Linked DNA regions of Lonchura striata. The protein of the gene in region 2 purifies or fractionates together with the protein of the main gene of each other region. This does not show direct contact. Links are inferred from orthologs where the notes say so. Each region holds a gene or a part of one and is shown on either strand. Other genes may lie near its edges. The genes, in order: DAPK3 and LUZP1.

Evidence for each region.
Region 1: the proteins of LUZP1 (region 2) and DAPK3 purify together in Homo sapiens (affinity purification with mass spectrometry; 3 studies listed by BioGRID and IntAct, with this or other methods). This does not show direct contact. The link is inferred for Lonchura striata from reciprocal best matches to the Homo sapiens genes LUZP1 and DAPK3.

Annotation. Positions count from the first base shown.
Region 1 is NC_134630.1:6,838,427-6,849,033, reverse strand, and holds the start of DAPK3 (death-associated protein kinase 3), read right to left. Parts: upstream 5,097-10,607; 5' UTR 5,003-5,096; intron 3,334-5,002; 5' UTR 3,268-3,333; coding exon 3,206-3,267; intron 1,935-3,205; coding exon 1,574-1,934; intron 771-1,573; coding exon 641-770; intron 499-640; coding exon 450-498; intron 343-449; coding exon 316-342; intron 217-315; coding exon 64-216; intron 1-63. Other genes in the region: EEF2 (elongation factor 2), read right to left, coding at 5,830-6,023, 6,761-6,893, 7,312-7,494, 8,101-8,454, 8,538-8,645, 9,197-9,455, 9,597-9,792, 10,405-10,543. UniProt on the Homo sapiens protein: Serine/threonine kinase which is involved in the regulation of apoptosis, autophagy, transcription, translation and actin cytoskeleton reorganization. Involved in the regulation of smooth muscle contraction.
Region 2 is NC_134628.1:5,227,053-5,238,163, forward strand, and holds the start of LUZP1 (leucine zipper protein 1), read right to left. Parts: upstream 4,626-11,111; 5' UTR 4,498-4,625; intron 1-4,497.

The DNA.
Region 1 (10,607 bases), on a different chromosome or scaffold from region 2:
GGCTGGGCAGGGGGGACTGTCCCCTCTCCCAGAGGAAGCCCCAGCTCTGCCCCTGTCCCTCACTTGGGGTCCTTGACGAGCAGGCGGCGGATGAAGTCCTTGGCCAGCTCGCTGGTGTTGCTGAAATATTCCTCATCGAAGTCGTAGTTGACAGCAGAGATGTTGGTCAGCGTCTCCTGCTTGGTCTCCCCCAGGAACGGGGAGGCTCCGCTCAGCCTGAGGAGAGAGTGGGTTGGGACACCCCAAAAAGGCTCCAGCCCGAGGTGGGGGGGCTCATCCTGCAGCCCTCAGCCCCCAGAGCTGCCTCATACTCACAGGATGTAGGTGATGACCCCGATGCTCCTGGAAGAGAGAGGGACAGGAGGCTGAAGTCACGAGGGGAGATCCACCAGCATGAGGGTCTGGCTGCTGGAGCCATGGGAAGGGGCTCAGGAGGGGGAATCACTCACCACATGTCGGCCTCCAGCCCCAGGGGCTCGTAGTTCACAATTTCTGGGGCTTTGGGAGGAAAGGGGAGAAAATGAGTTCATTGTGGGGGAAGGAAGCCTGGCCCCATGGACACATCCTGGCAGCAGCACCCGAGTGCTGGGTGTCCCTCCAGGATTAATCCAAAGCTTTCAGTACACTGAGCAATGCTCACCTACAAACTCTGGGGTCCCAAAGATATTCTTGAACTCATTCCCAGCCTCGATCTTGTGGGCGATCCCAAAGTCGATGAGTTTGATGCGAGGGTTTGGCACGTTCTTGTCCAGCAGCATGATGTTCTCTGGCTGTGGGGGGAGAGGAGCTGGCTCTGTCCCTGCACCAGCCTGGGGGAGCTGCCCTGGGCTCCTCATTCCAGGGCAGAGGGCGAGTGCCTCGAGCTGGGAGAGATCCCAAGCACCAGCCCCACTGCAGTGCAGGAGTGCTGAACTGAGCCCCACTCCTCGGTGCTGGCTTCCAGAGCCCATCTGGGGGCTCATCCATGCTCCCAGAGCTGAACACGGAGTGTCTGCAGCTCTCAGAGCCCATCTGGGGGCTCATCCATGCTCCCAGAGCTGAACACGGGGTGTCTGCAGCTCCCAGAGCCCACCTGGGACTCTATCCCTGTTCCCAGTGGGGTGCCTGCAGCTCCCAGAGCCCACCTGGGGGCTCATCCATGCTCCCAGAGCTGAACACGGGGTGTCTGCAGCTCCCAGAGCCGAACACGGAGTGTCTGCAGCTCCCAGAGCCCACCTAGGGGCTCATCCCAGCTCCAGTGGTGTGCCTGCAGCTCCCAGAGCCTACCTGGGGGCTCATCCCTGCTCTCAGAGCCCACCTGGTAGTTTATCCCTGCTCCAGTGGGGTGCCTGCAGCTCCCAGAGCCCACCTGGGAGTTGACCCCTGCTCCCAGAGATGAACACAGGGTGTCTGCAGCTCCCCGAGGCCACCTGGGGGCTCATCCCAGCTCCAGTGGTGTGCCTGCAGCTCCCAGAGCCCACCTGGGGGCTCACCCCTGCTCCCAGAGCTGAACACAGGGTATCTGCAGCTCCCAGAGCCCACCTGGGAGTCTATCCCTGTTCCCAGAGAGGTGTCTGCAGCTCCCCGAGCCCACCTTCAAGTCGAAGTGGGCGATGCGCTTGGAGTGCAGGTAGTGCACGCCGTCCAGGATCTGCTTGAGGAACTGGGTGGCCTCCTCCTCAGTCAGGGACTCCTTCTCGGCCAGGAAGTCGAAGAGCTCCCCGCCGGACACCAGCTCCAGGATGAGCACCACGTCGGTCTTGTTCTCAAAGATGTCATGCAGGGTGATGATGTTGGGGTGCTGGATCTCGCGCAGGATGTCCACCTCGCGCTCGATCTCCTCGCGGCTCACGCCCCGGCGGCTGGACGACAGCCGCCGCTTCTTGATGAACTTGGCCGCGTACTCCAGGCCCGTCTGCCTCTCCCGGCACTTGCGGACGATGGCAAACTGCCCGCTGAGGAGAGAGAGGAGAGGAGAGGAGAGGAGAGGAGAGGAGAGGAGAGGAGAGGAGAGGAGAGGAGAGGAGGAGAGGAGAGGAGAGGAGAGGAGAGGAGAGGAGAGGAGAGGAGAGGAGAGGAGAGGAGAGGAGAGGAGAGGAGAGGAGAGGAGAGGAGAGGAGAGGAGAGGAGAGGAGAGGAGAGGAGAGGAGAGGAGAGGAGAGGAGAGGAGAGGAGAGGAGAGGAGAGGAGAGGAGAGGAGAGGAGAGGAGAGGAGAGGAGAGGAGAGGAGAGGAGAGGAGAGGAGAGGAGAGGAGAGGAGAGGAGGAAGAGGGGAGAGGAAGAGGGGAAGGGGAAGAGGGGAAGAGGAAGAGGAGGAAGACGAGGAGGAGGAGAGGAGAGGAAAAGAGGAAGAGGACGAGGACGAGGACAAGGAAGAGGAAGAGGAGGAAGACGAGGAGGAGGAGGAGGAGGAGGAGGAGGAGGAGGAGGAGGAGGAGGAAGAGGAAGAGGAAGAGGAAGAGGAAGAGGAAGAGGAAGAGGAAGACGAAGACGAGGAGGAGGAAGAGGAGGAGGAAGAGGAGGAGGAGGAGAAGAGAGGAGAAGAGAGGAGAAGAAGAGGAAGAGAAGAGGGAGAAGAAGAGGAAGGGGAAGACAAAGGGGAAGACAAAGGGGAAGGGGAAAGGGAAGAGGAAGAGGAAGAGGAAGAGGAAGAGGAAGAGGAAGAGGAAGATTAGAGGAGTATTGTAAGTGCAGCTGAACCCAGATGGCAGAAATGACAATGTCTGACTGCAGAAGGCTGAACGATTTTTTTATTATAACTATACTATAATACATTAATATCCTATTTAAAGGAGCAACTCCTGCAAGTTCCTCTGCTTTGAAAAATAACCCCACCTAAGTGATCCAAAACGGTTTTGCTGCCCAAACGGCCGAGGAGGAGCCACGGCGTGGGGCGGGCACAGACGAGGCAGCTCCCCCACCGCCGCCCCTGCGTCCCGGCTGATTAAATCCCATCTGCGGGCTCTGAGTCACCCTGGATCCCTCCCACAGGCGCCGGGCCAGCTCAGGCACCGAGGAAGGCCGGAAGCCGCCAGCCCCGGACGGCAGCAGCGTTAATTAACGCTTTTTTTGTTAATCTCTATCGGCTAGAGCTGCCTGGCTCTGCACAGCCCCAGCTCTGCTGCCTGCGGAGGGGGCACAGGGACCCCGCAGGGATCCACAGCCGGATCCAGCCGAGCTCCCGGCAGCCGTGGGAGCCCCCCGAAGGCAGCGGGATGTCCCTCACCTGCCCAGCTCCTCGCCCATCTCATAGAAGTCCTCCACGCTCTCCTGGCGGAAGGTGGACATGGCTGCGGGGCCCTCTGCAGCCGGCGCCGGGCGTCAGGAGCGGGGAGCAGCCGGGGGGATCAGCGCCTGTGGCAGGGGGAAAAAGGGGGGCTGTGTCCTCGGAGCTCACAGCAGCACCGGGAAAAAGGGGGGCTGTGTCCCCGGGGCTCACAGCAGCACCGGGAAAAAGGGGGGCTGTGTCCCCGGGGCTCACAGCAGCACCGGGAAAAAGGGGGGCTGTGTCCCCGGGGCTCACAGCAGCACCGGGAAAAAGGGGGGCTGTGCCCCCGGGGCTCACAGCAGCACCGGGAAAAAGGGGGGCTGTGTCCCCGGGGCTCACAGCAACACCGGGAAAAAGGGGGGCTGTGTCCCCGGGGCTCACAGCAACACCGGGAAAAAGGGGGGCTGTGTCCCCGGAGCTCACAGCAGCACCGGGAAAAAGGGGGGCTGTGTCCCCGGGGCTCACAGCAGCACCGGGAAAAAGGGGGGCTGTGTCCCCGCGGCTCACAGCAGCTCCCAGCACAAGCACCCCGAGTCCCGGGGATGTGCCCCGGTCTCACCACATCCCAAAACTCAGGGGACAGGGAAGGGAAGGGAAGGGAAGGGAAGGGAAGGGAAGGGAAGGGAAGGGAAGGGAAGGGAAGGGAAGGGAAGGGAAGGGAAGGGAAGGGAAGGGAAGGGAAAGGAAGGGGGCCACAGCCTTTCCCTGCCCCACAGCCCACCCCCAAAACCCCCCAAACCCCACACCCACTCTCCTCCAAATCCCTCCCCATCCCTTTCCTGCCTCACAGCCCCTCCCCACCCCAATCCCTCTCACACCCCCAGTCCCTCCCCATCCCTTCCCTTCTCCACATCCCCCCACCCCAATCCCTCCCCCTCCTTTCCCAGCCCCACGGCTCCTCCCAATCCCGATCCCACAGGCCCCACAAATCCCAATCCCTCCCCACCCCAAAATCTCCCCAAACCCCACACCCACTCTGCTCCCAATCCCTCCCCACCCCAAAATCCCCCCAAACCCCCCACCCACTCTGCTCCCAATCCCTCCCCACCCCAAAATCCCCCCAAACCCCCCACCCACTCTGCTCCCAATCCCTCCCCACCCCAAAATCCCCCCAAACCCCCCACCCACTCTGCTCCCAATCCCTCCCCACCCCAAAATCCCCCCAAACCCCACACCCACTCTGCTCCCAATCCCTCCCCACCCCAAAATCCCCCCAAACCCCACACCCACTCTGCTCCCAATCCCTCCCCACCCCAAAATCCCCCCAAACCCCACACCCACTCTGCTCCCAATCCCTCCCCACCCCAAAATCCCCCCAAACCCCACACCCACTCTGCTCCCAATCCCTCCCCACCCCAAAATCCCCCCAAACCCCCCACCCACTCTGCTCCCAATCCCTCCCCACCCCAAAATCCCCCCAAACCCCACACCCACTCTGCTCCCAATCCCTCCCCACCCCAAAATCCCCCCAAACCCCACACCCACTCTGCTCCCAATCCCTCCCCACCCCAAAATCCCCCCAAACCCCCCACCCACTCTGCTCCCAATCCCTCCCCACAGCCGCCCCCATCCCTCCCTTCCCCACCCCGCCCCACAGGCCTCATCCCCCACACACCCCTCCCCGCGCCATCGCTCCCTCCCCAGCGCAGCCAGCCGCACTCCCTCACCCCTCCGGGACCCGCAGAGCCCCGCACCTCCCCGCCCGGCCCCACATCTCCCCTCACGGCCCCTCACGGCCACCGGCCCCTTCCCAACCTGGGCCGCCGCCGCCGCCGCCACATTCCACCACAGCAGGCCCCGCCCACCCCGCGAAAACCACGCCCCTCCATGAAACCCCGCCCACATCCACACAAACCACGCCCCTCCATGAAACCCCGTCCACATCCACACAAACCACGCCCCTCCATGAAACCCCGCCCACATCCACACAAACCACGCCCCTCCATGAAAGCCCCGCCCACATTTACGCAAACCACGCCCCTCCATGAAACCCCGCCCACTTCTCGCAAACCCCGCCCACTCCGCACCATCCATGTCCAAGCCCCGCCCCAGGTGGGCGGGGCCAATGGCGGCACCACCCCTTCGCCCCCACCAGAGGGCGCCACTCTCGCCCTTAGAATCACCCCCAAAAATTCCATTTTTCGTCACCATTTATCCAATTTTATTAATTCCAGTGGCACTAATACAGGCGGCGATGGGCACGACGGACAGTCACGCTGCAGATAAGGCATCCTCACCCTGTCTCTCTTTCCCCCCCATTTTTCTTGACCTCTTGAAGCACGCCCCACTTCCTTCCAGGCCCTTCTGCAGCAGTATTTTTTTTTTTTTTTGAATCAAATAAATACAGAATTGGGCAGATCTAGTGGAAATGTTTTAGTTACAATGGCAAAGATGAGTCATGTGCAACACAGAAACCTATAAGGCTTTTTTTTTGTTTGTTTTCCTCATTTGAAGTTCTCAAAATTGCTATGAAACCCATTTAATTAACAAGATGGTGGTCAAGGGCGTCTACCCCTGGCGGCATGGGTGATAACGCTAATTAATTAAATTTTTCCTGCTCTCCCAGAGTTCCATGAGTCTCATTAGAGTTTGTCCAGGAAGTTGTCGAGGGCAGGGATTCCTTCCTTCAGCCCTTTGCGTTTGCGGGTCTCGGCCACCACCTGGCACGGCTTGCTGGTGCTGTCGAAGGGGTCCCCGGACAGGATCTGCCAGTGGTCGAAGACGCACTGGGGGAAGGCCTGGCCCCCTGTGTTGGACCTCAAATCTGCTGTGAAACCTGCGAGGGACGAGACAAAAAGTGAGGCAGGACAGGAGTGGTCATGGTTCAATGTTGTTTCCGTGGTTAGAGCAGAGGAACCCAGAGCAGCTCTCAAAAGCCTCCTGAGATCCCAACCAATGTGAGGTGGGGATGGAAAAAAGGCTCCAGGAAGAACTTAAGAAATCCTTCCAGTGCCTAGAACTGGAGGGAGACTTTGGACAAACATATGGAAGGACAGGACAGGGAATGGCTTCCCGCTGCCCGGTGGGATACTGAGAAGGAATTCTGCCCTGGGAGGGTGGGGAAGGGCTGGGATGGAATTCCCAGAGCAGCTGTGGCTGCCCCTGGATCCCTGGAAGTGCCCAAGGTCAGGCTGGAGCAGCCTGGGACAGTGGCAAGTGTCCCTGCCATGGCAGAGGCAGCACTGGAAGACCCTGACTTCCAACCCAAAATGTTCTGCAACTTTGGTCTCTTCCAGGCAACAAGTGAGAAGAAACACCCCTAAGCTGTAGCAAGGGAGGGCTGGAGATTTCTAGGCAAGTTTATTCTCCAGAAGGATGGTCAAGCACTGGCACAGCTGCTCAGGGCAGTGCTGGAGTCCCCCTCCTCCCTGGAGGGCTTTCAAAGCCTCTGAAGTGTGGATGTGGCACTTGGGGACATGGTTCAGTGTCACAGTGCTGGGTGAACAACTCAACCCGAGGATCCCTTGAGGTCCTCGCCAAGGCTCTCCCTGCCAGGAGGGCTCCAGGACTCACCGAAGGACTCGTTGACAGGCAGGTAGGCCTTGACCACGAACATGGGGGTCCCAGCCACCTGGGCCTCCTCAAACACGTGGCCACGCTTCTTGTTCAGCACGCTGTAGATGCCTCCCACCACCTGCTCCGGGCACTGCAGGAGAGACTGGAGTCAGGACTGCGCCCACCCGCCGTCCCCCCTTCCCCTGGGGCTGGCAGGGGCTCCTCACCTGTCACAGTGAGCTCATGGGCACACTGTGCCCCCTTCCCTGGGACTCTGATCAGATAACCCTGGACCCTCCTTCCTGCCCTGACAGGGTTGGCAGAGAGCCAGGGAAGCCCACCCTGCCCAAAGTCTGTATAGACCCCTGACATTTCCTTTTTGTGCTCTTTTGCCCCGCTCTCCACATGGACATCACAGAATAAAGAGAGCTGAACCAACATATTTTGGGGTAAGAGCCTCTTTTGGAAATCTTTGCCATCTCCTGATATTCCTCCCCTCACAGCCTGCTTACCTCCGAGCTAGCCTAGGATATTTTGGGGGCTGTGTGAGGGTGGGGAAGGTCACTCACCTGGATCTCCACCAGGTAGATGGGCTCCATGAGGCGCGGCTGGGCGGTGAGCACGCAGGCGTAGAGGCAGCGCCGGGCCGTGGGGATGATCTGGCCGCCGCCGCGGTGGATGGCGTCGGCGTGCAGGGTCACGTCGTGCACGTCGAAACGCACGGCGCGCATGTTCTCCTCGCACAGCACCCCCTGCCAGGGCACAGCGGGGTCACTCCGTGGCCCCTGATGGGGTGCTGCTCGCCTGGCTCCCAGGAGGAGCTCTGTGGAAGCAGCTCCCACCCAGGAGCCACTCGACCTCCTTGCTGAAGGATGAGCCTCCAAACCTACAAAGGCTGGACTCTAGGTCTTTCCCAACCTAAGGGTTCTGTGGAGCACCAGCTCGCAACCCCTGTGCCACCACTGCGGCAGCCTCGTGATCAGCTCTGAGGTTCAAGCCTCAACAGCTGTCACACGTTTATGGTGCTGAAACCCAAGTATTTGGCCAAGGGAAATGGGGATTTTTTTGTCTTGGTAATGTCACAGAAGTTGTTGGCTTGGAATCACCTTCAGACTGAAACTAGGTGGTACACAGGAAAATGAATTCCTCCTCTTGCTGTTCCCAGTCTGTCATCTTACCCTACAGTCCTCTCCTGTCTAATCCTGAAAATAATCCCTGTCGAGGCCCTCAGACCACTTTCCCTCCTGCCGTTATTCCCTGAACTGCTAAGATGTTCCATTTTGCTCCACGATAAGCATAACAAAAGCACAGATGTGAGGAACCACGGATGCCACCCAGCCCAAGCCGCCGTCCCTCACCTCCTTGGTGGCCCACTGGAAGCCGGCCACCACGCTGTCCTTGATCTCGTTGAGGTACTGCACCCCCTTGGTGATGTCGGTGAGGATGTTGGGGCCGGTGCCGTCGGGCCCGAAGCACCAGATCTTCCTGGCCTCGGTGACGTCCCACTCGTACTTCTCGGCCAGGTACCGCGCCCGCTGCTTCAGCTCCTGCCGGGCCGACACCTCGCCCTTGTCGATGTCCTCGGCCAGGCCCTCGGGGAAGGGCCGGGCCTTCATGTACAGCCGGTTGTGTTTGTTGGGGGACTTGGAAAGGCACATCACGCTGGACTCCTCGCTGACCGTCTCGCGGTAGGACACCACGGGGTCGGATTTCTGCGGGGACAGAGCGCGGCGTGAGGCACCAAAGCGGCCAAACCCCCACCACGAGCTCAGCCAGCACGCAGCCTCCTCTCTACCTTAATGGGGATGCAGGCGTGGTCCTCCTCCAGGTCCTTCAGGCAGATCTCCAGGTGCAGCTCCCCAGCGCCAGCGATGATGTGCTCCCCAGACTCCTCAATGATGCACTGGGAACACCAGGAACAGCAGGTGAAGCTTCAGAACGAGCCACATGCACAAGCAACTTTCTGTGTTTTTAGTGCTTGACCCAAAGAGCTACTTCTACATGTTCCCCCCACTCATCCCCTCTGTGTTTTTTGTTTGAAAAAAAAAAAAAAAACCACTTAAGTGACCCAAAACACTTTTGCTGCCCAAATGCCCGAGGAGGAGCCACGGTGTGGGGCGGGCATGGCCAAGGTAGCGCTGGAGGATCCCAAGGCAGCTACTTCTACATGTTCTCCCCACTCATCCCCTCTGTGTTTTTTGTGTTTGAAAAAAAAAAAACAACATTTAAGTGACCCAAAATGCTTTTGCTGCCCAAATGCCCGAGGAGCCATGGTGTGGGGCGAGCACAGCTGAGGCAGCACTGGAGGATCCTGAGGCAGCTACTTCTGGATGTTCTCCCCACTCATCTGGGGGTGTCGCAGCACCAAGCCAGGGTGCAAGGCAGGGACCAACACTCAACTCAAGGCTTCCCCAGGATGGAAGCAGCACCCCTGGATCCATTCTGGCCACTCACCTGCACCATGGGGTCAGACTTGGCCAGGCGCTTCAGCCCCTCCACCAGCTTGGGCAGGTCGGCCGGGTTCTTGGCCTCCACGGCCACGCGCACCACGGGGCTGACGCTGAACTTCATGACCCTCATGTTGTGGGCGTGCTCGAAGGTGGTGATGGTTCCAGTCTTCACAAGGAACTGGTCCACGCCGACCAGCCCCACGATGTTCCCGCAAGGCACGTCCTCGATGGGCTCCACGTAGCGGCCCATCATGAGAATGGTCCTAAAGGGAAAGGTGGATTAGTGAGGCTGGGAAGGGGAGGAGACCCCACTCAGCCCACAGCCAAGAACCTTGACAAGCCTCAGACATGAGAAGAGACCTGAGACAGCATCAGAATCCCTCGACAGCCCAGCCAGGACACACCTTTGAATTGGCTTCAGGTACAGATCCTCCTTCTTGCCAGGTGTGTAGTTTGGTCCCATGATTCTGACTTTCAAGCCAGTAGAGACGAGACCAGAGAAGACACGGCCAAAAGCGTAGAAACGTCCCTTGTCAGAGGTTGGCACCATTTTGGAGATGTACATCATCAGGGGGCCTTTGGGGTCACAGTTCTTAATGCCTGGGAGGGGGACAGACCAGCTTAGCACAGAGGTATCGATGTATCTGGCACCCACCCCAAAACCCCAACTCAAGACCTGCACCCACTGTCCCAGCCCAAGGGCTTCTGTCTGGGCTAGAGAAAACGGAGAATGGCTCCCACTGCCAGAGGGCAGGGATGGATGGGATATTGGGAAGGGATTGTTCCCTGGGAGAACACACAGGGTGCCCAGAGCAGCTGTGGCAGCTCCTGGATCCCTGGCAGGGCCCAAGGCCAGGTTGGATGGGGCTTGGAGAAGCCTGGGGCAGTGGAAGATGTCCCTGCCTGGTCAGGAGATGGGGCTGACCTTCAAGATCTCTTCCAAACCAATCTATTCTGAGATTCCATGGAAGATCTTATCACCAACAAATGTTTTTAACAGAGGTTCAGATGGACCCTCTGGCTACTCTGAGATTACTCAGCCAGCTGAGTGCTCCAGAACAGAGCTGTGAGCCACTAAAACTGTTTGATCCATGCTGGAAAAGCTACAGACTCAATTCCAGACACTCCTGAGCTGTGCACGTGGAGAACAAACTGGTTACAGGCATGCTGGAGCCGAGGCCGGGCAGCAGAGCAGCTCATCCTTCATCCTACCTATGGCAGCCTCATCGTCAGGGGGGCCCTCGTAGAGCAGCTCGCAGCGATACTTCTGGGCTGTGACGGGGGAAGGCAGGTGGATGGTGATCATCTGCAGCAGGGCATCTCCAGCTGGCAGCCACCGCCTCATCACAGCCTGGGCAGAGCAGCAGGACCCAGTCAGAGTGTTCACAACAGGGGTTCACCTCCCCGTCCTTCCC
Region 2 (11,111 bases):
CTGCCTGTGCCTGCAGCTAAGGGAAGACAGTGAGCATGGCTGGGTTGTGGACAGCTGGCCCCTGACACACAGGGCAGGGCAGCATGACAGCTATTATGCTGCAGCAGGCCAAGGAGCAGCCATACGGAAGTTTCCAGCTCACACAAAGTATTTACACACGTGAGACCAGTGCACTTTGCTGGCCCATGTTCAATACAGCTGCTCAGAGCCCAGATGACAGGACTCTGAAGTTACTTTGTGAGGAGGACATTTGAGGTTTGCTCAATCCAATGAACCTCTGACAAACAGGGACAAAAAAAGATTGGGACTTAATAAAAGTAAAAAATTTTTCCACTGAAGTCCTCTAAATATATCTCTACTCCTCTGCCCAAACCTGGGCAGCACTTTGTGTGAGCAGGAACTTTGCAAAGGTAGCACTTCCAAACTCACTGTGAAAGCATGGTGGTGACAGAGACCTCAAGGCAGACAACAATGCTGAGATGCTCAAGGGATGCTATTACTGCAAAAGTGACCTCACAGACTTTTGGCCAGATCCTCAAACTTAAGTTTTATAGTAATTTTCAGGTGGCCCTGTACTGTGCCTGCCTCCTTCTAGCCTCATGCTCCCCTCCCTTGGCCAGAGTAAAGCAGCCCCGCAGCCAGGCTGGGAATTGGGCAGGGTTAAAGGGAGTGGGGGGAGGCTGATGGTTAATTTTCACCAGATCAACTCTCTGAACACAACTGCATGAAGTTTTTGTCAGCTTGGGTAGGGCTAGACAGGGCATTTGGAGGAGAAAGTGGTTAGGACAAGGGGAAAGGCAAACCCACCTCCTCCAGGCACAGTGCCCACCTGCACTGATGTAGCACTTCCCAGATCCATGACTGAAGAGGATGTGAAAATCTATCTCTCCTCCAACTTGATAAAAGCAAGCAGACACTCTCATCCACCCACTGCCACACAGAAATAAACTTACCATCTTATGTGTTCTTATACATTATACCTGTGTGTTGGCAACCTTGTTCCTAAGCAAGGAAGTGATACATTTAATTCCTGGGGTTACTGGGCTGGATCCTAAGGGGGCTTTACTACAAGAAGAGACAAGGCTGCAGAGCAGGCTAAGTGCCAAGTACAACATTAAAACTCTTTTTTTTCTAAACACCCCCTTCTCCTTTCAGCCCATCACTCGCAGGGTGCATTCACCTTTCTGTACTGTGTTTCTATGTGAAATTAAAACGTTTGGAACACAAATGTTACATTTGCTGCACAACTATTGCAACAAAGCACCAAAATATTCTCAGCTTTCTTTTATAGAAAAGGAAATAGAAACTGCCTGTGCACAGCTTTCACATGCTTCTGTGCATGCTGCTGTCACGCTCAGGTAAAGCTGTGTGTTGCACCTGCATATTTTACTCCACCCTGGTGAGGGTTAAAGCACACAGGGCTGAGGTATCCTTACAACCCCTTATCTGCCCAGATTAGGGCCCCAGCAGGGGAACATCATTGCCAAAACCTAAGACACCACCACAGACACAAAAGCATTAAGGCCACATTCTTATGGCTGACATCCAATGCCACACTTTATATCTGATCATTTCAAAAACACTGGTTTTCAGGCTGCTGAATCAACCCAAACCCCACCAACTTCACAGGAATGGCATGCCTGGCATGCCTTCTCAGTCATGGTGGTTAGGAAGGCTCCTAAATCTGGACAGTTAAGGGCAAATGGTTTGTGGGTTTTCTACCAAACTGATTCTGTCACCAGCCCCAAACCTCAAATCCAGAGGGATGTAACTATCAACAGTGTGTGCAGTGAGTGGCTGCAGTCACCACCAGGAGAAGGCTGCCACAGCCTGTGTTACCCTGGCAAACAGATGAGATTGGACAGGGAGAATAATCATACCTTTGGTGGCTACAGAGAGAAGAAGAGATCAAGTTAAAAGACTAAAGCCTTCCAAAGACTCAGCCCATTGAAAGCAGAGAGAAGAATAACAGTATGGAAGGACAAAGCCAACCACCAGCTTTAGGAATGCAAGAAGTGCTGGCAAGCAACACCTGCTCATCAGCTGTCACCAAGTACTGGAAAACTTTCATGCTTTCTACTTCATGTGTGTGAATACAAGCATTACCCAAGGCAAAAAGTCTGTACAGCAGGCCTTAGACGTGTGAGGATGTATGTAACCATGCCATAATCATCACAACAAAGGTTCTCCATTCCAACATGTTTTAAGGGCTCCCATGATCTGCAATCCACTAGTTAGTGTAAAACGTATTACTGCAGCAAATCATCACCCTCGTGGGAATCTTCCAATAAAAACAACCTCCTAAAGAGATTTTATGCTTCATTTTAGTGTAACAATTGTATCAAAATTGTCCTTCTTTGTCATTTTGCTCAGTAATGCCAGCCATACTTTCTGAAAAACTCCCATCAAGAAAGAGACCTCTGGTTCCTCACCAACTGCAGCCCACAGTGGGAAGGAAATGTTTCATGGAGGACATGCACAGCCTTTAGAGTCCCTGGCTACAATACTCTGCTAACATCATGCTCAAAGTTGTAATCACCAATCCATTTGAACATAGAAAATAATGTGGACTAGACTGCAAGGCATACTGGGTTTTTAAATATTATAATTTCTTGTAACAGCCACATTTGAGAGTTCTCTTTTTTAACACAAGTTATTTTTTGCCTACAGTTCCTAGCCTCGTATAAAATAAAGAAAATCATCAACTTACTCTAAGCTGGGCAATTTTCAGAACACAGCCAGAAGACTAGAGAAATGTCTGTGCTCTTGTAACTTATTCCTACTTCTTAGGAAGTCAGCATTGTTCAGACTCACCTGTACTGGAGTGCAGAAACGTTACTATTTCATAGCAATATGAGGAACCTGAGGTTGAAGAACTACTTAGATCAGGAGATGCAGGGGCTAGTTAATGGGGACCTGATTACTCTTGAATTGTGCTGCTCTCCCACACTCCCTTTACCCCAACTCATTCCTTCCCCCAGGAACTTTCAGACGCATATCCAAAAGAAACACAGCAATCAGCTCTCCACGTCCTCCTCCTCCTTGCAGTGCTACAGAGGGCTGGGTGCCCTGAGCAGCCCCAGGCGTCCCATGCCCAGGAGGTGTCTTGCACACCAGGTCCCTGCACAAGTGAAATTCCTCCACAATGGAGGAATTACACTTCTGCAAGTGTGCCGCAGATGCAAACCAGCCACAGAGCACGCTGTCCCTGCCGAAATATGGCAGCTGGCTACTGGCTGCACAAACTGACCGGAGCACAGAGCTGCTGGTTCTGTACTCGCACAGACTGTAACACTGGGAACGACGCCTCCCGCACCGTCCTGCAGGTCAGCAGACGCATACCTCTGCCATGAGGCTGTAGGCATGTGGGAAGTCACTGCATTTTTTCCCTCTAAACACGGAATGCCACAGACGATTCCAGGTTGTAAAATTCCCCCTTCCCACTGTCATCACTGTGGTGAGAGGCGCCCACCCACCCCAGCGGCTCTCGGCGAGAGACTCGATAAGCAACAAGCCCAGCACACGCGGCAGTGATGAGCACTCCTTCCCCCGATTTTTGTGGAACATTTTAACAGAATTTACGCACCACTTAAAACTTAATCCCACAGCACCTAACTCAAAAGTGCTGATTAGTTGGGATGGTAACTTTAACTAGTGTTTAATTGGTTTAAAGGCTTCAAATGTAGCATTACAAGGGGGGAAAAATACAGATTTGCAATGAAAGCACAATCACCAAGGACAACAAGCAAAGGTTTGCTGTGCCACTGGCTTCACATGCCGGCACATGGGACACCTGACAAAGCCAAACGAGGGAGGTTTCAGAAATTTTTGAAAGAGGCAAAGAAAAGTTTCACAATGCTCCATCAATTAATTCCCTCACGACGGGGGAGCAAAGAAGACTGAAGTAATTAACAAAGTCAGAGCATCAGAAAAGCATGTATATAAAAGAACGTTATGAATTATTTGCTAAACGTGGGCGGGCTGGGAAAGAAGGGGGAATTCAGGAAAAATAAGCAACAGGAAAGGGAGTATGTGGCTGCAGCAAGGAAAAAAAAAAAAAAGGTTATTCACAGAAAACGCGTTAAGTGCCTGGAAACCTCCAAAATCTCAACTAAGCCCCAGCCAACGGGTTTAGGAACTTCCCTGCGGGCAGCTCGCTACAGCGAGGAGCGGTGGGACCGTGCCCTTCCCGGGCGGGGACGGGGCCGATCTCCGCTCAGGAAAGCGGCTGTTCCGGTCCTGTCGGAAGGAGCCCGACGGCGGCTCCATTTCCGAGCGGGAGCCGAGGCCCCGGCGGGCGCCCCAGGGCCGGCTCTCCCGCGGGGGTCCCCGCCGCCGCCGCGGGCCACCCGGCCTGGAGGCACCGCTCGCCCGCACGGGAAGGGACGGGGAAGGCGGCGGCGGTCACAGACAAAGCGGATGCCTCAAATTCCTCCCCGCCCCGCCGGTCCGCCGCACCCCCCGCCCTCCGCCCCTTCATCGCCCACCTCTGCCTACCTGGGCAGCAGGAGCGGCCGGGCTTCGCTCCCTCCCAGCCCGGGCTTGGGCAGCCGCAGCCCGCGAGGGGCTCCGGGGCTCGGGCGGCGGTGCGGGCGCTGACAATGAGGGGAGGGCCGCGGGGCCGGGCGGTGCTTGACGTCAGCGGGCGGGGGCTGCGGCCCGGCCCGGCCGCCGCAGCTCCGCGGCGCCCGCCCCCGGCCCTGAGAGGCGGGCGGGCCCCGCCGCCATTTTGGGGGGGCCGAGGGCGCTCGGGGCAGGGAGGGGAAACTTTCCGCCAGGCCCCGGCGCGGAGCTGGGCGGGCTTGGTGGCGCTGCTCTCGGAGGGTTCGTGCTCCGGAGCCTGCCGGACAGCCCCTTCTGCGGACGCGGCCAGGGCTGCCGCTGGCTCGGGGATTTGGTGTCGGGGCGGGCGGTGCCGGTCCCGGCTCTTTGGGAGCAGGGCGGAGCCCCGCGCCAGGTGGCACAGCGAGGTTTTGTCCTCCTCTCCCGCCGCATCCCCCCGTTAGTGCCATCTCTTGGACACTTTGGACTTGGTGGTCAGCCCAGCTGCGGTTGGTTCCACCTCTGGTACCTGCAGCCGGGGATGCCGACATGGGATCAGGGACAAGAGACCTCCGCCAGCACTAACCGGGAAAAGCTGCTCCCGGTGCGGCTGAGCGGTGAGCCGAGCCCGGGAGCTGACCGGGCGGGTGGCGCGGCGAAGGACACCGGGAGCGTGCCCGGTGCTCTGTACAGCATCATGCCCAGCTGAGTCCGCAGCAGACGTGTCAGAGGCCGGTGAGCAATTGCAGCCTCCCGGCCAGGCAGCGAGACGTGACAGGCTCGGAACCTACTGACCATTGTGGGGACAGTGGGGAAAAGGGGAGCTGCCTCCTCACCTTGTAACATCCCTCATTCCACTTGTCCCTTTCTGTACTTTTGTCTGCAGCTTCCTCTGACTGCACTAAGTCCCCATAATTATTAAAGAAAAATATTGCTTTATCTTAGAGCAGCCAGAGCTTCCTTAGTTTTCCTCTACATCATTTCCTTTCCCGGGACAGAAATTTCTGAGTGTCTAACCTCACACTACTAAGCTTTTTTTCTTTGAAACACCAGCCTGGGTAGTGGCAACCCTTGTTGCCACGGGCACTGTACCACCAGCTGCGGCCATGCAGCTTCTGCAGGACACAGAGCAGGCAGGTTGTCTCTCACTTGGGTCCAGAGATTTGACATTTATCATTTATTTGGTTTCTATTCACTCTCTTCCTCATTCTACAGACCCCACGTGGCAGCTGGTTCAGTTGCCACTTTGGTGAGGGGCTTCTTTCTCCTCCTCCTTTATCAGCTCAGCTCATTTTGTTAGCTGTCACCTCCCTCCATCACTCATGCTGGGTGGGTCAGGATTTACCTCACACCTTGTGCTTTCCCTCGAGCAGCAGTTCACTCTGCCAGTGCTGCTGGCATCTGGTGGCACAGAGGCTGAGTGTCTCTGAGTCCTTAGTGAGCATTTTACTCACCCAAGCCTGAGGCATGGTTGCTATGCTTATCTCTTGGATTGGAAGGATGGGTGCTGGATTTCCAAAACCCAAAGCAGGGTGCCAGCACCACTGGTAGAAAACTTTTTCCCCAGATGTCCCCACAATGACTGATAGAAAGGCTGCATAGTCCCGAGGGAGTGGGGTGTAAGCAATGTGGGCAGGTGTGACCAGAGATGATGGGCAAGGAGAGATGACAAACACAATAAAATCACAAATTATACGAGGAATCAGCAGAAGCTGTCAGCGTATCTGACAACAGAGGATCCATATGGGTGTAGTAGCTTTAAACAAATAAATGTAACTCATGCATCTTATGCACAGCTTGATAACGTGAGAAGTGGATGGCTCTAGGATGCCATGAACACCAGAGGCATGAGATTCAAAAGGGATTAGCCAAACTTACAGAGAGCAGATTTCTCAGTGGTTATTAAAAATGTCTACCTGAGTCATCTTACAGTTCATGAGGTCCCTGAACTGACTCTTCAGGTATTGCTATTCTGTACTCCCTCTGCTTGTATGGTGAATTTAAGTGAGGTGTCTGAGTTGATCTTGCAGCTGCTGATACACGCAGTTGAATGTCCCTCCTAAAATTACTTGTATGTGCTGTTTCTTCTGCACCAGTTCTGGCATTTGTTCTGTTTATCAAACAAGCAGACAACTAACTCAGAGTGAATACTTCTCTACCTACAGTGAGTTGAATTAGCCCACTGTTTTCTAAGCCAGTGGTTCTTGCTTCTCTCTGCAAATTAGAAGTGGACATTCTCCTGATTCCAGGTGTTTGGGTTTTAAGTATTTAGAAGATCAGATTCATGATAAGATCCTGATGTTTGTTGAATTAATTTCTAACGGCTCCGACAGAGCTGGAGCCTTGGTTGTGTTAGATGCCACACAGAGTTTAGGAACAGTATTAAACACAGCAAGCAGGGAAAAAGAAACAGAATCATGCTTGTATGAACAGAAGTGCTGCATGGCTTGCTAGTCTCACATCATTATCAGCAGTCTATATGGCAATGTAAGTTTTGTTGGGTTTGGGGTTTTGTGTGTATGACTGTTTCTTGTTCCTCAAATCAGCTAGGTGCCACCATGAGTCCCCACAGAAGCCTGCAGCCACATCAAGGTTTGGTAACAAAAGCACTGAGAAGGCTGCAGCACATAGGAAACGGGTTGATGTCTTTTTAGTTTGTCCTGCTGCTATCTTCCTCTCAGTCAGAAAACATGTGCAGTCCATTGGGAACACCATCTCCTCAAGCCAAGGGCTTTCAAATCCATCTTCACCAGCTGCATAAGGAGCCAGAACCTGACACACCTGGAGAACACCAGGATGGGGAGTGGCAATTGCTGGAAATCATAAACAGGATTTACACACACTATGAGTAGGGTTTGTCTGAATACATCAGACATCTCCACCACTGATTCTTCTGCACAAGTCTCATTTCAATCTTGCAGCATAGGTAATGTAAATAATGTCATTAAGCATTATGAGGGGATGTTTCACCTCTTCCTGGAGCAGACATCTTAAAAATGTCAGCTAATTTAGGTCTATACATGGGGCCAGAAGGGGTGCATTTAAGGATGCCAAGGGTGTTTGCCAATATAATTTCAAAACTGGCACCATAGCTACAGCTGTGTCTCTTGACGTTTGTTCAAGGACTTGCAAGGTTTACTGCAGAGGGAGTTGTGAACTCAAAAAAGAAAAGCAGGATACCAAGTAGTTTCCATGGTAGTTCAAAATTTGAAATTGTCTATCCATCATTAACTGCTATGGAATAGACAGGAAAATACAAAGCACCACATCTTCACAGATACCTTTTGTTAGAATATCAGAGTCGTAAAAGATCGTAATTGTCAATGAAAGCATTCTGACACCATGTTAAAAAGCCTGTTCTGCAAAAACATTTCCATCACATCATAGACTCATTATGTATACAAAACAGGAAGAGGAATTTTGGGCATGCTTGTTTGTGAAGATGTGATCTGTTCATCAATATACTTAAGTAGTCTTACATATTGTTCTTTTGTTCCTCTGTGCATTTTGTTCCTATTTTGCATTTGTTCCTTTGTACTGACAAGGAGCTGTTTTCCAGTTGGTGGGCATGGTGGGATTTCTTCAACCCTCAGGCTTTCAATGACCATATTTCTTTCACGTAGCAAGGTTCAGGTTTGTCCTGGGAGGAGTGATCATGTTCCATGTTCATTGTCCTGCCAGTCTTCTGTCATGGTAACTCCACATTGCTGACATTCATCCTCTTCCCTGGTTGTAGGAATAACCTGCACTGGAATTTAAATGCAGGGTGCTGCAGTGAACACACATACTTTGACATATATTTAGCTATTTCTTCTATTTTCAATAAATGTTACAATATCATTGAAACAACTATCTTCTTGGACATATCAATATGTACTTTTATACAAACATAACATGTTTTAACTTACCTTTGTGCTCAATATTGCTAGAGCTTCACTGGAGAGGCACTGAGATATCACTCAGCCCTCCTGTACCTTCTGTGAAATACATTTGTGTGCTCTAGACTGCAATTCACAGTGTTGTAAAACATGGTAAATACGGACATTGATCTCCGTGACATGAGGGCCTCCTTTCAACTCAGAGGCTGTGAGTGTTATTTAATTTATGATCATCTCTAGCAAGTGTTTTCATCTGCCAGTTCCATATCACTGTTTTTTCCAATATAAATTACTGAGGCATGCTATCAAATATTTACTAACAATAAGAATGGTGTAATATTAGACCATGTCCATTTTAAAATTAATCTATAACCTAACCAAAGAAAGGGCCTACTTTGTTTACTCTTGAATTAAACAGTGTCAAAGAAGAGTGGTGGATCACCTTCCTATGCTGTATTTTACCATTCTCTTCATAATCGGAAATCTTCTAGAGTAGGAAATACAGGAAGAGAACAACAGCATAGTTGATACAGGCAGGGAATGGACTAGCCAGCCTCTCAAAGGCCCTTCTAGGACCATGATCTGTAATTTTATGTTTCACACTGAGCAGGTGAATCACTCAGAGACCGTGGAAGTCATCACAAACTGGCCCAAAGGTGAACATTTCAGCTGTCATCATCAGAGGAGGATGAAACGTTGACTGCTGCTATAACAGCAAATTGAGCAGTACAGGGACTGGCCTCAGGTGTGGGAGTTCAGTTGCCCACACTGGTTTATGGTTCAAGCTGTCCCCTGGGGGCTGTGGCCTGTGTCAGCTCACGTGTCCCCAGGCAATGCAGCAGCACAGCTCAGGAGTGAGCCAGGGAGAACCTGCACTGGCAGTGGCCACTGTGGACACGCTTTGAGAGGACACTGTGTGGACACGGCCATGTGGTGGCACCACCCAAATCTCTTAAGCTTGATAGAGCTAGATCAGTGCCCTTTTGGGAGGGTAAAGGAGCCATGTCCCAAACAAAGCAGCCTTAAATGCTTTCTGTGAGAGAGGACTGCCCTACTGTGACCACACAACTGCTCTGTCTGACTCTGCAGCATGTGGGTGGTCCTGGTGTGGCAGCACATTTCTCTCCCTCTCAGGATTTTTCATAGAAGTGCACAGAGAGAAATGAAAGAGAAAACCATTTCTATTTCTGCTTCTTGTTTTTCCAATGTGGAATGTGCTTGGAGAATTGTTTACCTGGAGTGCTTGGTTGGATTCTGGTGAGGATTGTTTGAGCCTGATGGCCAAACCAACCCACCTGGGGCTGGACAGAGACAGGGTCACGAGTTGTGTTAGAGTTCGAGAAAGTAGTATGTAGTTTTAGTATCTTCCTTTTAATATAGTATATTAATGAATTTTAGCATAGTTATAATAAAGAAATAATTCAGCCTTCTGAATTGAGTCAGACATCATAATTTCTTCCCATTGGGTTCGCCTGCATTTACAATAGTGATGGGGCATCACTTTATGGTCCATCCTCAGCAGAGGCACCAGTAACAGGGAGAAGCAGCAAAGCTGTGCTACAAATGCAAAGGAAAGGTTGAAAGCTGTGGTGGACAAGCTGTGGTGGAGTGTGTTGGGATGGCCACAGCAGTGGACAGTGGAGATGAACTGGGGCAGGCTGAGAGATGGAAGGGCAGTCAGAAGGATGCTGGCTTTGTGTGGCTTTCATATTCAGCATAGACATGACAATTCTGATGTAAAATGCCCAGAGACTAAAACGTTGCATGACATTTGGGCTGCACCACTTGGTGTGCTGTCTTGTCTGAGACTTCATCCAAGACCTCCATGTGCCAGCTTCCCACCTGCCAAACCAGGGAAGGAATCCCAGAGGCAGAGAAGTGCATGTTGGACAGGACCTGCTCTGTGACCCCAGCAGAGGGTCCTGACAGTGACTCCTGAGCACAGTTTGTCTGACCAGTACTTAAAGAATTCCAGAGACAGGGATGCCAGATCCACCCCAACAACCTAATTACTAAGAAAGTTTTCCTTGGTGTGTCACTTCATTCTCCCCTCTCTAACTTCCCATATCTTATCACCAAGGAGCGAAATTTACAGCTATTTTATGAGGTCCTAGTCATTCCACACTGGCACTAACCATATTCTCCTATTTCAGTTTATGCATTCAAAAAACCAGAATGACAGAAATATAAGATCAATAATTTTCATGCTATTTATTTTGTAGCATTTCTTCACTGGCTGTTCTATTCATGATAAAATATGTAATAATAAATTCAACTAAACTGTTTCCTTTCTACACTTCACCAAAAGCATAGATTCAAATGCAGCATTTCTTAAATATCCATATAACTTACGTCTGTGCTATGCTGCTCTGCCCTGCTGCTGATTATAGTCAGGCCATGTCACACATCTGCAAGAGTTACAGGTTTTATCAGCTTCACATGGGTAAGATACAGGCCATAGAAAATACAAGTATCAGATCCTGCTCTCCAGAAACTTTCTCAGCCGACATAAATGGTTAATAATGTACAGCAGAAATACTAATGTCTTGTAAATACACACACAATTTCTTCCTTTCAGGTTAGAAAGTGTGGTAGAATTGGATAATGTGTTACCTCATCACACAAGACAAACTCCCTGGTTCACACACCTTGCCTCATTGTAAAGCTTATTTCATGTGTTGTTGATCTTAT